Schizosaccharomyces pombe: one gene and its partner. Changing the gene in region 1 together with any one later gene gives a genetic interaction. Each region holds a gene or a part of one and is shown in the gene's direction. Other genes may lie near its edges.

Region 1 (6,782 bases):
ATGGTCACTTTACATTACCGTACTCGCTCAAGACAGTGCGAATAGGAAGGTTTTTTACCCGCATGGTATTTTGCTATGCATTCGTATTTGCTATTCACTGAGCGTATATAAATGAATGGATCTTTTAAGAGCTTGCTAACAAGATAACCTACTTGTACGCGAGTGTCAGAAGGTCCACATATTTGCTATAGATTAAAATTTATTATTACATTTAAAACAGATTCGTTAACAAAGAACCTTTTGAAATTACTTGAGTTAATGGTTTATTCTTTTCGCGAAATTCTATATCGCTGTAATTTGTGTGATCGTAGACTTCCTATTTGTGTTGGATGCGTACTAAAGTTTGCTTGGAATCCTGTTAATACATGTTTTTAAAAACCACTGAAAGTGTATAGCAATGCTTGTAGAGCGTATATCCAAGATTTAAATAATATGCTATGTAATTCTGTGCGATGGGTAATATAGTTAATTATTTAAATAGCTATAAAATATAGAACGACTACTGTTTAGGTTTGTCCATGCTACATCTTGGAAGAAAATAGAAATATAGTATTCTTGTTGGCTAATGCAATAAATCTTCAAGTTTATATAGCAAATTGTGAAGTCAGTATTCGTAAATTTGACAAAAATTTAATGATAATTTATTTTTTCAGATTTGCTGACTTTAAGTAGTCGGTATCTGCTTTTTATGCATAAACAAGAAGATTCAGTTCGAGGATCAGAATCCTTTTTTGTATCATCAAACTTGAAATTGTCTTATAACATCATTAAAGCCAACCGAGTGTACCAAGCATGCGATAATGTAAGTTTTAAGAATCATTCAAAAGTATATTTTTCAAAGCTTGAGCAACGACAGAAATAACCTGTAAAATTCTAATGAATCAATGGGCTGTGCAATCAATTTATAATCAGTTGAGATTTGTTGCTCTGAGAATAGTAATACTTACACGCCTTTACAAATAAGCGTGTTTTAGTCATTAAGTTAGAGCACTATCGTTGTTCGAATACAATAACAATTATTTAAAAAAGCGATGTGATGAGGAAAACAACAAAAAGCGTAGTACTGTCATTCAAATCAAAGTAATGTAAAAATAATGAACAATTTTAAACAATGATGATAGCTTCGATACTTGTCTCACAGCTCATATAAATCTTCGTTGACACCTTTTTCTATACTATGCTACTCAAATCAATTTGTCGGTCCGAAGAAGCGATGTATAACGTGTCACATAATGTTAATATAAAGGGCATAAATAAAATCAAAAGTAATTATACTTAAAAAACAGAAGAAGGAAGCTCAAGGAAAACGATCATAAATAAATTAAATGCAAAGGAAATTAAATGTTATTTTGCAAATATAAACACAATTCATTTGGGCTTAATTCGTTTTCCATCCCTTGAGCATATATATTCTTTGCATTGTGCCAAAGAAGCTCTTAATATTGTGGGAAAAGAAAATAAAAACAATAAAACTAAAGAAAACGATCATTAAAGAGAGTGCAAAGCTGAAACCATAATACATCTGAGAGAAACATGAGTTAAGCATTCGAGTATCTCAAATTTTATGAATACTCGCCTCAGCTTAAAATGAAAAAATAAAAAAATCACGAATAAGCAAACACCATTTCCCTCAAATATTAAAGATAAATTTCCTCGCACAGCTATGCTTCATTTTAGGCTTGAATATACTGATGTCTTTGAATAGAATAAATCCTAGTATGACCTGGAGCCCAACCAAGAGAGTGGATAAATGCATGAGCAAAGATCTCCCCGAATCCCAACATAACTCCATTCAAGAAAGGAAGGCCCAAATTAATTGCCGCATACTTGAAAATATGAATAACTTGTGAAAACAAGGTTTTTGGAACTGTAACTGTATTTTTCTCCATCCTGCTTGTCCAACAAATACTATAACGAAACGAACCAACCGGTAATCAACACAATTTTCAAATAACTCCTTTAGAGAAGTTTTTATATCAACTTTCAAAGCAATTGCACGAATAATATTTTTGGCGTAAATTCTATTATTAAGAATCAACTGAGTTGATGGGGCAAGTATATGTGGAAGGATACTTTATTCCCAATCAAAATTACGAGTGTCCCGTTCTTAGATGCTGTCAACGCTTTAAGGCGTCAGGACAATGGTTAATGAGCAAAACACTTTCCTCCTTATTCATTTAACGAAATTAAGTTAGTAACTAATACCGTAATGCAAGCTCTGACAAAATATAAAATGCGACATCTTTCATCATACATATATAGCGGTGAACACAACATTCGTCTTCACTAGGGAAGAGTATCACGGATCTTTTAACTGCTTCCATTACGAGCATCGAATAGTCCAAACCCAAATTAAGTGTTCTCTGGGGTTTGCAAAGCTCAGAAGCAACTTCTATTGACTCTGCAGGACTTCGGTTCATGACTACCCGCTCGTGATCTTAATTTAGATCGATCTTTTTGTCAAACAGATTAACAATACTTATTTCATTAACGGCTACTGGGAAATTTTGATTTATTTAAGTTGTACTGAGTTCAAAAGCCCTTGAATCTTTCAAACACCATTTTTTGTTTTTGAAATTGCCTGGGAAATTGTATTACAGATTTTGGAAAATTTCGTCCTAGTCTGAAGTGTCCTCTTTTTTTCTACTTAGGTAAAGTTTTTTTTTCTTTTATATACCGATTTCCTTCTTTTTAGAATGCGTCCCTCTGTAATCACGGTTGCTGTTCTTTTTGTACAGTCGACATGGGCTTCTTTTGCATTTGGCAACCCTATGAGTATGCGAAATAAAGCGCATACAAATGATTTAGTTAATAGCAAAGGAAAACCACTTGTTGGTAGATTTTTGCATATCACCGATATGCATCCTGACATTTATTACGAAAAAGGATCCACCGTCGATCATTATTGTCATTCCTATGATCATAATTCTGACGATACTCCCTTGGGTAAAAGCAAAGTGGGTTACCTCTCTCCTGGTCCTGGTTATGAATGTGATTCTTCACCAGCATTAATTGATAAGACATTGGAATGGCTTAAGGAACATCAAGATGATGTTCTGGGAGGCATTGACTTCATACTGTGGACTGGTGATAATTCTAGGCATGACAATGATAACCATTTTCCAAGAACACAAAGTGAAATTCTTGCTTCAAATGAGGACTTGGTTAATAAAATGATAGAGGCGTTTCCTGACGTTCCAATTGTTTCCGCTATCGGGAATAATGATATATATCCTCATAACATTATGGAAGCTGGTCCATCTTCAATGACTCGACAACTAGCTGGTGCTTGGGATGCTTTAATTCCTTATGAGGAACGACACACTTTTGAAAAGGGCTCTTATTACCTATGTGATGTGATTCCGGACAAGCTAGCAGCAATTTCCATTAACACTCTTTACCTATCAAACAAAAATGCCGCGGTCGATGGTTGTCCTGATGATAATCTAGACGAACCTGGTTCTCTTTTTATGCGATGGTTCAAAATACAGCTTGAAGCGTATCGGCTAAAGGGAATGAAAGTTTGGCTTCTAGGACATATTCCCCCTACAAGGGGCCAGTGGTATGAAGATTGTTATACTTCTTTTACGGATTTGCTTTATGAGTTTCGAGATATTATAGTTGGACAACTCTATGGTCATATGAACATAAACCATTTTGTGTTTTTGGAATTCGATAAGTTACCTGTTGATACAGAATCTTATGGAATCAAAAGTGCGCAACCAAAATATGTAAAATCTTTAATTGATGCCCAATACGCGGAGCTTCCTACATTTCCCGAGAATTTAACAGAGGAGTTTCTTAATGGAACCGTCGGGAATTACTCCTTGGCTACCGTTGGTGGTTCGATTATACCTGAAATGTTTCCAACTTTTCGCGTTTACGAGTACAATATTTCTGATATTGCTAATCAGCTGGATGATCGGGAAGAGCTAACTGAAATCACTTCTTTTAACTGGGAAACGCTTGAAGAGCAGTCTCAATCAGATTATGAGATAGACAAGAAAAAGAAGAAAAAAAAGAAGAATAATAAAAAAAAGAAGAAGAACAAGAGGAAGAATATTAAGCCCGGTCCTTTGGGACCGGCATACGTTCCGTCACTTTTTACTCCTATTTCATTTAAGCAGTATTTCTTAAACACGTCAAATTACATGGATGCAACGAAAGATACCGAAATTTCTTATGAATTGCTATATACTTCGAAGGACTCTCCATATAATATGCCTGATTTAACTGTGCCAGAGTATATGCGTCTAGCAAAAAGAATAGCAACTTGTGACAAACCAGAAGATCCTCATCAATTCAAATTACAGAGTGGCGATCAAAACACTTTTAGAATTTCTAAAAAGAAGAAGCCATCTATTTGTCCGATAGCCTATACATATCTTTGGCATGCGTATATTGGTTCAATATCGGATTTTGAGGACTGATGATTGATATATTTGTTGCCATACCTTTAATAATATTTATTTAATATACAATCAACGATGTTCCTTGACATTTTGAGTTCATCACGAACATCAAGTATTAAGTTGTTTCATATACATGTCAGCCAATATTGAATTCGTGGATGCGTCCTCTGGTCCTTTGTCTGACCGAACTCTAATGAAGCGTGGGAATCGAATTGATAAACCGCGATCATCCTGAATTAATCCCAAAGCCGCCTTGTATGCAGGTGAGGATGTTATTTGAGCACCCTTAATTTCCCAAACTTCTTGAGGGGCAAAGTATATTTGTGGAGTTACCTTACCTGTTTCGCAAAAATTATATATGGGTTTAAGACTGCTATTGCCAGATTCTAAGGAATACTTTTGTGTTAATTCCTTATAAAATTGGTCACTAAAACCGGACATGCATTTACAGACTGCTTCATACGCGCCAGTGTCTGGATTGTAAACAGCAAGCAAAATTGGACTGAACCATCCGGCTTTTCTTCCATTACCGTACCAAGCGCCTATGGGAACAAGATCCAATGACTCAAATTCATCATCATAATCCTGTTTGACTTTAATCCATCCCTCACCTCTTTTATCAGGTTCATACGTTGAAGGAAACTTTGAGTTTGTTCCATTCAGTACCTTCACCATTAATCCTTCGCATTTATTAGTAATTGCAAGACTAAAAAATTCTTGAATGGATTGCTCCTCATTTGTTTCCAAAGAAGACACGAACTGAAAGCGATTTGGAATTAAATTAAAATGCTCAAAAAACATTCTTCTTCTTTCAATTAAAGGCATTTGTAAGCAAGATTTCCCATCACAAAACATAATATCAAAAACAAAAACACACACGTCTATTGTAATATCAGCCACTGTAACTTTTTTTCTTTCTCTAGTTGAAAGTTTTTGAAAATCCAGTATCTGACCATTACTTTTGTCAATAGCCACCAATTCGCCTTCTATAATAAAATCACATGAATGTTTCAATGCTAATTGAGCAACTTCAATGACATCCGGAAATCTTCCTGTAATTTCCTCCAAATGGCGGCTAAATATCTTAATGTTTCCAAGTCTATCGCAATGAATTTGTGCTCTTTGTCCATCGTACTTGAACTCACAAGAGAAGTTATGATCAGTCAATCTTTCTAACATATGCTGCAAATTCTTTGTGATAGAACCAAGCATAGGTTTTACTGGGATTCCAGGGCGAATAGACATATTGTCTTTTAAGTTTTCTATCCCCTCTCGAAGAAGGGTTGCAACCAAAATGTTATAATCAGGGACCTGAAAGAAACTTTGTTTAACAATCTCTTCTCCTTGACGAAATTGTTGTTGAAGTGAGTCAGAATTAAAATTAAATATTTCGTTTTGATTGTCAAAAATAAAAAAAGCTTTGCTTAGTGAAGCTAACATGGTGTTTTGAACAGCCCCTATTCTTAGATTTTGCATTATACTCCTCCCTATATATCGAACCTCCTCAGCATTAGAACTTATCAATAAAAATTTAGTTAACTCTAATTTACGGTTCTGGGCACCATTACCGTTACTGTCAGCAATCTTTAGTAAAGTAGAATAAACCTTCTTAATAGTCAAAGGTTCTGGTCTGCTTAACGTGCGCACAGACACTTTAGCTTCGAACGCTACATCTCCTGGATCGCCATATTTGTTCCATAAATTTTTCAAAGCACTTGCTGTAATGCCACAAACTTCTTTCAAAGCTTTAGAGTACATTGCAGGTCCGACACCAAGGTTTTTTCCATAAAAGTTGGGGGCAATAGAATTGGTACATAACCAAACTGTTGCAATTAAGGAATCAGGATCTGCATACAGAAGTGTGAGAAGGAAATTGGTTAATAATGTGACAATGCGTATCCTGGATTTGGTAGAACTAATTAAGGAAAAGGTGTTAGCAAGTGATGAGTAACTGAAGCTTTTTGTATCTTTTGAAACAAATCGGGCTCGACAACTTTTCACGTAAGTCAAAGGATCTTTCTGTAAAGCATCGTAATCAATTGTGGAATCTTTGTTCACGCTATCAGTTGAGAAAAAAGAAGCTTTGCATTCTTCGCTTGTAACTAAATTCTCCTTAGGTTTATCATTGCTTTCTTTTACAACATTAAATGTGTCAGTATGATACTCTTCTTCAGGTATAATTACATCTTTAGGAAGCTTTTCCGGAGCAGTAGCTTGGTTCTCAGAATCAAAAAGCTGTTGAAGCTTTAATGCATAAGCATAATCGCTGGCGCTTTGATCGTGATCGGTGAGCAATTTGTTTGGTGTATCTGTAAGCTGTGCTTCTCGTTTTGAAAACAAATCTTGAATTGTAATAATATTTCGGCTTTT
Region 2 (4,709 bases), 780 kb from region 1:
AAAGAGATAAACCGATGCCATATAGCAAAAGCGTGCATGGAAATATACACTTTGTATCGAGTCCTCAGAGATGAATACAACCCTAGTGTATTGTGTCAGACAAGAAAGAAAGTCGAAAAGAACAGGAAAGCTTTTGTCTTACCATCGCGAGATAGTTGAGTATCTACGTTCATATCAAACCGTTCAGCCAAACATGGAAAGGCTTTGCTTGCGACACCCTGATAGACAGGAATTTTTTATACAGATGTAATGACAAACAATATGCTTTAAGCAGCAACTTAATTGTAGTTTAAAATCATATAGAAATACTTAAAATCAATGAGGGTTTGCACTTCAGGATAATGGTAAATGAAAATCACACTTCACGAAAATAAAACGCGTAAACCGTTAATCTTCAAAACTAAATAATACCGCTCAAATTACGCTGTTTTTCCGCTAATGTTCATAAGGGAAATGTTTGAATTCCGTAAAACTGTTAAGGATGCGCAGGGTGATGGTAAAAGATTTGATAGTATATGTTTATTTTGCAGAAATATTCGCCTTGACTATATACAAAGTACTTTTATAAACTAAATAGTGTTAGAAAAGTATAAAGAGAAGCTTCGATAGAAAATTATTTCAAGGTTAAAATGAATAACTCGTTGCATCAAATTAGTTTGAGGTGAAAGGAAGGATATGATTCGTAGAACTGCTAATTCTTCCTGAGAATGGTAAATGAACGGAAAGCGATTTTTGCAGTTTGAACACGATTTGATACATGAGAGCAATACAGTAATATTGTATATACAGATGGAGATAAGATTTGGTTGCGATTTAAATGGCAATGAAATAAAGATCTAATAAGATAACCATTAGTAAATTCTTAGCGAACCATGCTTTCCCACCTGCTAGTAGAAGATGTTTGCAATTCAGTAAACAAAGGTTATGAAAGTCACCAGTATAGCTAAATTAACAAAGTTAGCTGATCAATAATATTGAAATCTCATTAAATTACGATGATAATCTGTCTCTTCAATGAAATAAAAACTTAACACTGTGTAGATATTACGACGGCATGCAAAGAAACTGGAAACAGAGACAAGATATAGAGTTTACTAAAGTATTCAACCTATTCAGCGAATTTTAACAAATTCTTTTTCAATTTAGTGAGTTTACTTTTCAACAATTTTACAATTCATCAGTGAACTCTATACTTTTAAATCATTTGCAGTGAATGAAAATAGATCATGGATAATACTCGTACTTCGTTTTGTCTCATGATAATTTAAATACAAAAAGTTGACTTACAGTAGATAAACGTTAATCTACATAATAAATCATTGATGCAGGTTCAAATACTTCTTTCCCCTTCCAATGAATGAAGAAATCCTTTTGTGCTTTAGCCGCACTCAAGTGAAAAAACTCAGGGAAAAGAAAATAAAACGAAGAAAATGGTGATCTTCTTGTTGACGATTTCCTTGGCAAATTAATAAAACTATGCAAAGCGATTTATTAGTTACATGTATACACTAAGGCCATTGCACTATTGGACACGAGGGATCAACATGCCTTGCCTTTTTGGCAATACAATCACATTGCACTCTTTATGAATGTCGTCTACACAATATAAACATATTAACGATTTGCATTGAAATGTCATGTTATGATCAAATTATAATCTTATGCATGCCGCTTCAGATAATGGCTGGTAAAAATTATTATAAAGAGTTATTTGTTTAATAAATAACAATGCAAGAATTAATTACAACACACTGAGACAAGAATTCTCTGTTTATTTTTATAAATTTTTTTATCTATAAAAGAAGTATAATCGCTTTTAAACTCTTGCTTAATGCTGCCGGTTTGATCGGTATTATAACTAATTGACCGAGAACATATGACGAATAGTGAGAATTACTGTAGCGTAACATTTACTAGCAGTAAGCTTCCTTCATAGAATTTTTCAAAAGCACAATCGTGGATTCTCCCACTTACGTGAACGGATTTTGTCTTTTAGTATAAGCCACAATTTCTGGTATCCGCATTCGCAGCCATCATTTCTCAGACATATATTTGCTTTAAGAAGACCCAGTATTTGGCTGCATTAGTATATAATCGCATTTACATGTAAAATCTTGCCTAGTCAGTAAGATTACAGAATCGTTCTTTTAGAGAGGCTGATTTCATAAGTCTGTGTATGTGCGTGTCTATATACTGAAATATATAAATACACTTATAATTAAAGCTGGTTGGCTTTTTATCCTTTCTTTGTATATCACTGCATATTTTTTGTCCATATTATAAACTCCCTATCTATCGTCTTTCGATAATAATTATTTTCATTTTAAACCGCATTTCTCATCTCTACAAAGCATTATCCCATATTTCCCTTTTTTATTCCCCTTTAACAAGATATCCTTGAGTTTGGTTATTTTTACTAGCATTTTATTTCCATTTCTGAACTTGGTGCATAGCTCACCAGATTGGCATTTTTTTATTTGATCGTGTCTCATTACTTCCCGCTCTTTTTATTCTTATCTTTTCTTTCTTTTTGATTTTTCTCGCCCTTCTTTAATTTGTTGAAATTTGATTAACTTTTATTACTTTTGCAATGGGTATTCCTGATTCCACTACAGATTCACGCCATAGTCTCTCATCTGCTGCGTTGTCCTCTGCTAGCTTTGAGAATATTTACGACCCGGCACGCAAGAACGAGTCAACTAATGATGTTATCGACAATCATACAGACACTGAAATTGATGATCACGATAATGACCATGAAAACCTTGATAGCAATAATAATAACGAAAACAATGAAGCCTTTAACGAAAAGGCTGCAGAGAAAAAGTTATTGCCTTGGTACCGACGTTACTTTATTTGGATATTAATTTTTATAGTCGCTTTAATTTGTAGTGTTCTCATTGGTGTCTTGGGTGGTGTCTTGGGACATCGTACCGCTGTACGAGATCGCCATCCTTCTTACAAAGCTAAAACATATAGCCTTGTTAAAGAATATAAAGGCACCACATTCTTCGACGGCTTTGATTTTATGAACATTACTGATCCCACCCATGGCTTCGTACAATACCTTGACCGTAACAGCAGTGCTAAGCTTGGTCTAATTAGCGCGAATAGTTCCAACGTCATTATGGCCGCCGATAGTAAGCACAATTATAGCAGTGGTCGCCCTTCTATTCGTCTTCAGAGTACCCAGTACTTTGAACATGGACTCTTTATTTTGGATCTTATACACTTGCCTTATGGTTGCGGCACATGGCCCGCATTTTGGACTCTTGGTGATGACTGGCCCAATGGTGGTGAAATTGATATCGTTGAAGGTGTCAACGTGGGTACTAGTAATCAAGTCACTTTGCATACAGGTGACGGTTGTGAAATGGAAGATATCAAGCGAGTTATGACTGGTACTGCATTACAAACTAATTGTTGGGTTGATGCTCCAAACTCGTATAATGCTGGCTGTGGTGTTGAAAATCCTAGTGGTCCTTCTTATGGTGAAGCTTTCAACAAAAATGGAGGCGGTGTATTTGTTCTTGATTGGCGTAGTGAAGGTATTCGATCGTGGTTTTTTAATCGTTCTGAAATTCCATCTGACATTACTTCTGGTTCTCCCCAACCTGCTAAATGGAGTGAACCCGTAGCTGACTTTCCAGATACCAAATGCGATATCGACAAAATGTTTTCAAAGCAAAAAATATTATTTGATTTGACATTTTGTGGTGATTGGGCAGGTTCTTCAGTTTATTCATCAGCAGGATGCCCCGGTTCGTGCAACGACTTTGTTGGTAATAATCCTCATAATTTTACTGAAGCATACTGGAATATCAAAAGCTTGGCCGTTTATCAATACTAAACCCCCTTCTTTTTTCTTTTTGATGAATTTTCTTGATTATATAGGCATAACATTAACATTGCATGCGTGATATCATCTCGATATATTGTGTGTAAATAAAATACATTTTGATTAGAACTTGAAGTAGAGAAACATTTTTTCGCATGTGTTTAGCAAAATGCGTAAAATAGTAATAAGCCTAAGTTTTGTCTGAAATTATGCGAGCTTGAATTTTTTAATAACTTGTGTTCTAATGCCATCGTTTACAAAGTAAATTTCGGTCTTAAAATTTCAATAAATTCACTACGCTAATTGATTAATAATATAGGGTTTAGGAATATTCATATAAGGTACTCTTCAGAAATATCAAAAGGTTTGGGATTCGTATATGTTGTAAAAACGTTTGTTCATTTCTGTTGCAAAATACATCTAAGGGCGGTTTAAGAAACCAACGCCAGAATAAATCACTTGCTGAGAAACAGAAGTAGCACCAGAAATTTCAGCAGGACCAGGCTCAATACCACTCTTGGAGTATCTGGTAACGACAGCATATAGGCTAGGATCATCCAAGGAATGAATAATCAAACTTGTGTCAGCTTTAGGATTAACGGTGAGCTGTTGCTTAAGAGTAGCAGAATCGCCAGTATATTCGGTATACAAAACATAGTCCTTGGCATCTGGGCCTAAGTTGTCCTTATCTAAATGACCATCAACAACCTTAAAATTCAATAGTTGCAAAGGCTCTGCCAAAGGAGCATGAGTAGAGGTCAAATAATTGGCAAAAGCAAGGAAGGGATTTGAGGTTTTGTGAGAATTCTCTAATACCTCCTTTGAATCATACAGCTCAAGACCAAAGATATAATCAGGGTTTTTAGCATCA

What was found. Genes that interact genetically often act in the same process or in processes that back each other up.
Region 2: mutations in SPOM_SPBC713.07C (region 1) and crr1 together harm fitness more than expected from each alone (negative genetic interaction), as found in Schizosaccharomyces pombe (one large-scale study listed by BioGRID).

Annotation. Positions count from the first base shown.
Region 1 is NC_003423.3:877,567-884,348, reverse strand, and holds SPOM_SPBC713.07C (polyphosphatase), read left to right. Parts: upstream 1-2,260; 5' UTR 2,261-2,696; coding exon 2,697-4,430; 3' UTR 4,431-4,520; downstream 4,521-6,782. Other genes in the region: MIM complex subunit Mim1, read right to left, coding at 1,674-1,889; adl1 (DNA ligase), read right to left, coding at 4,521-6,782. UniProt on the Schizosaccharomyces pombe protein: Catalyzes the hydrolysis of inorganic polyphosphate (polyP) chains of many hundreds of phosphate residues into shorter lengths.
Region 2 is NC_003423.3:1,656,327-1,661,035, reverse strand, and holds crr1 (glycosyl hydrolase family Crr1), read left to right. Parts: upstream 1-1,959; 5' UTR 1,960-2,590; coding exon 2,591-3,850; 3' UTR 3,851-3,979; downstream 3,980-4,709. Other genes in the region: myosin-binding vezatin family protein Inp2, read right to left, coding at 1-82, 143-173; SPOM_SPBC21B10.08C (uncharacterized protein), read right to left, coding at 4,259-4,709.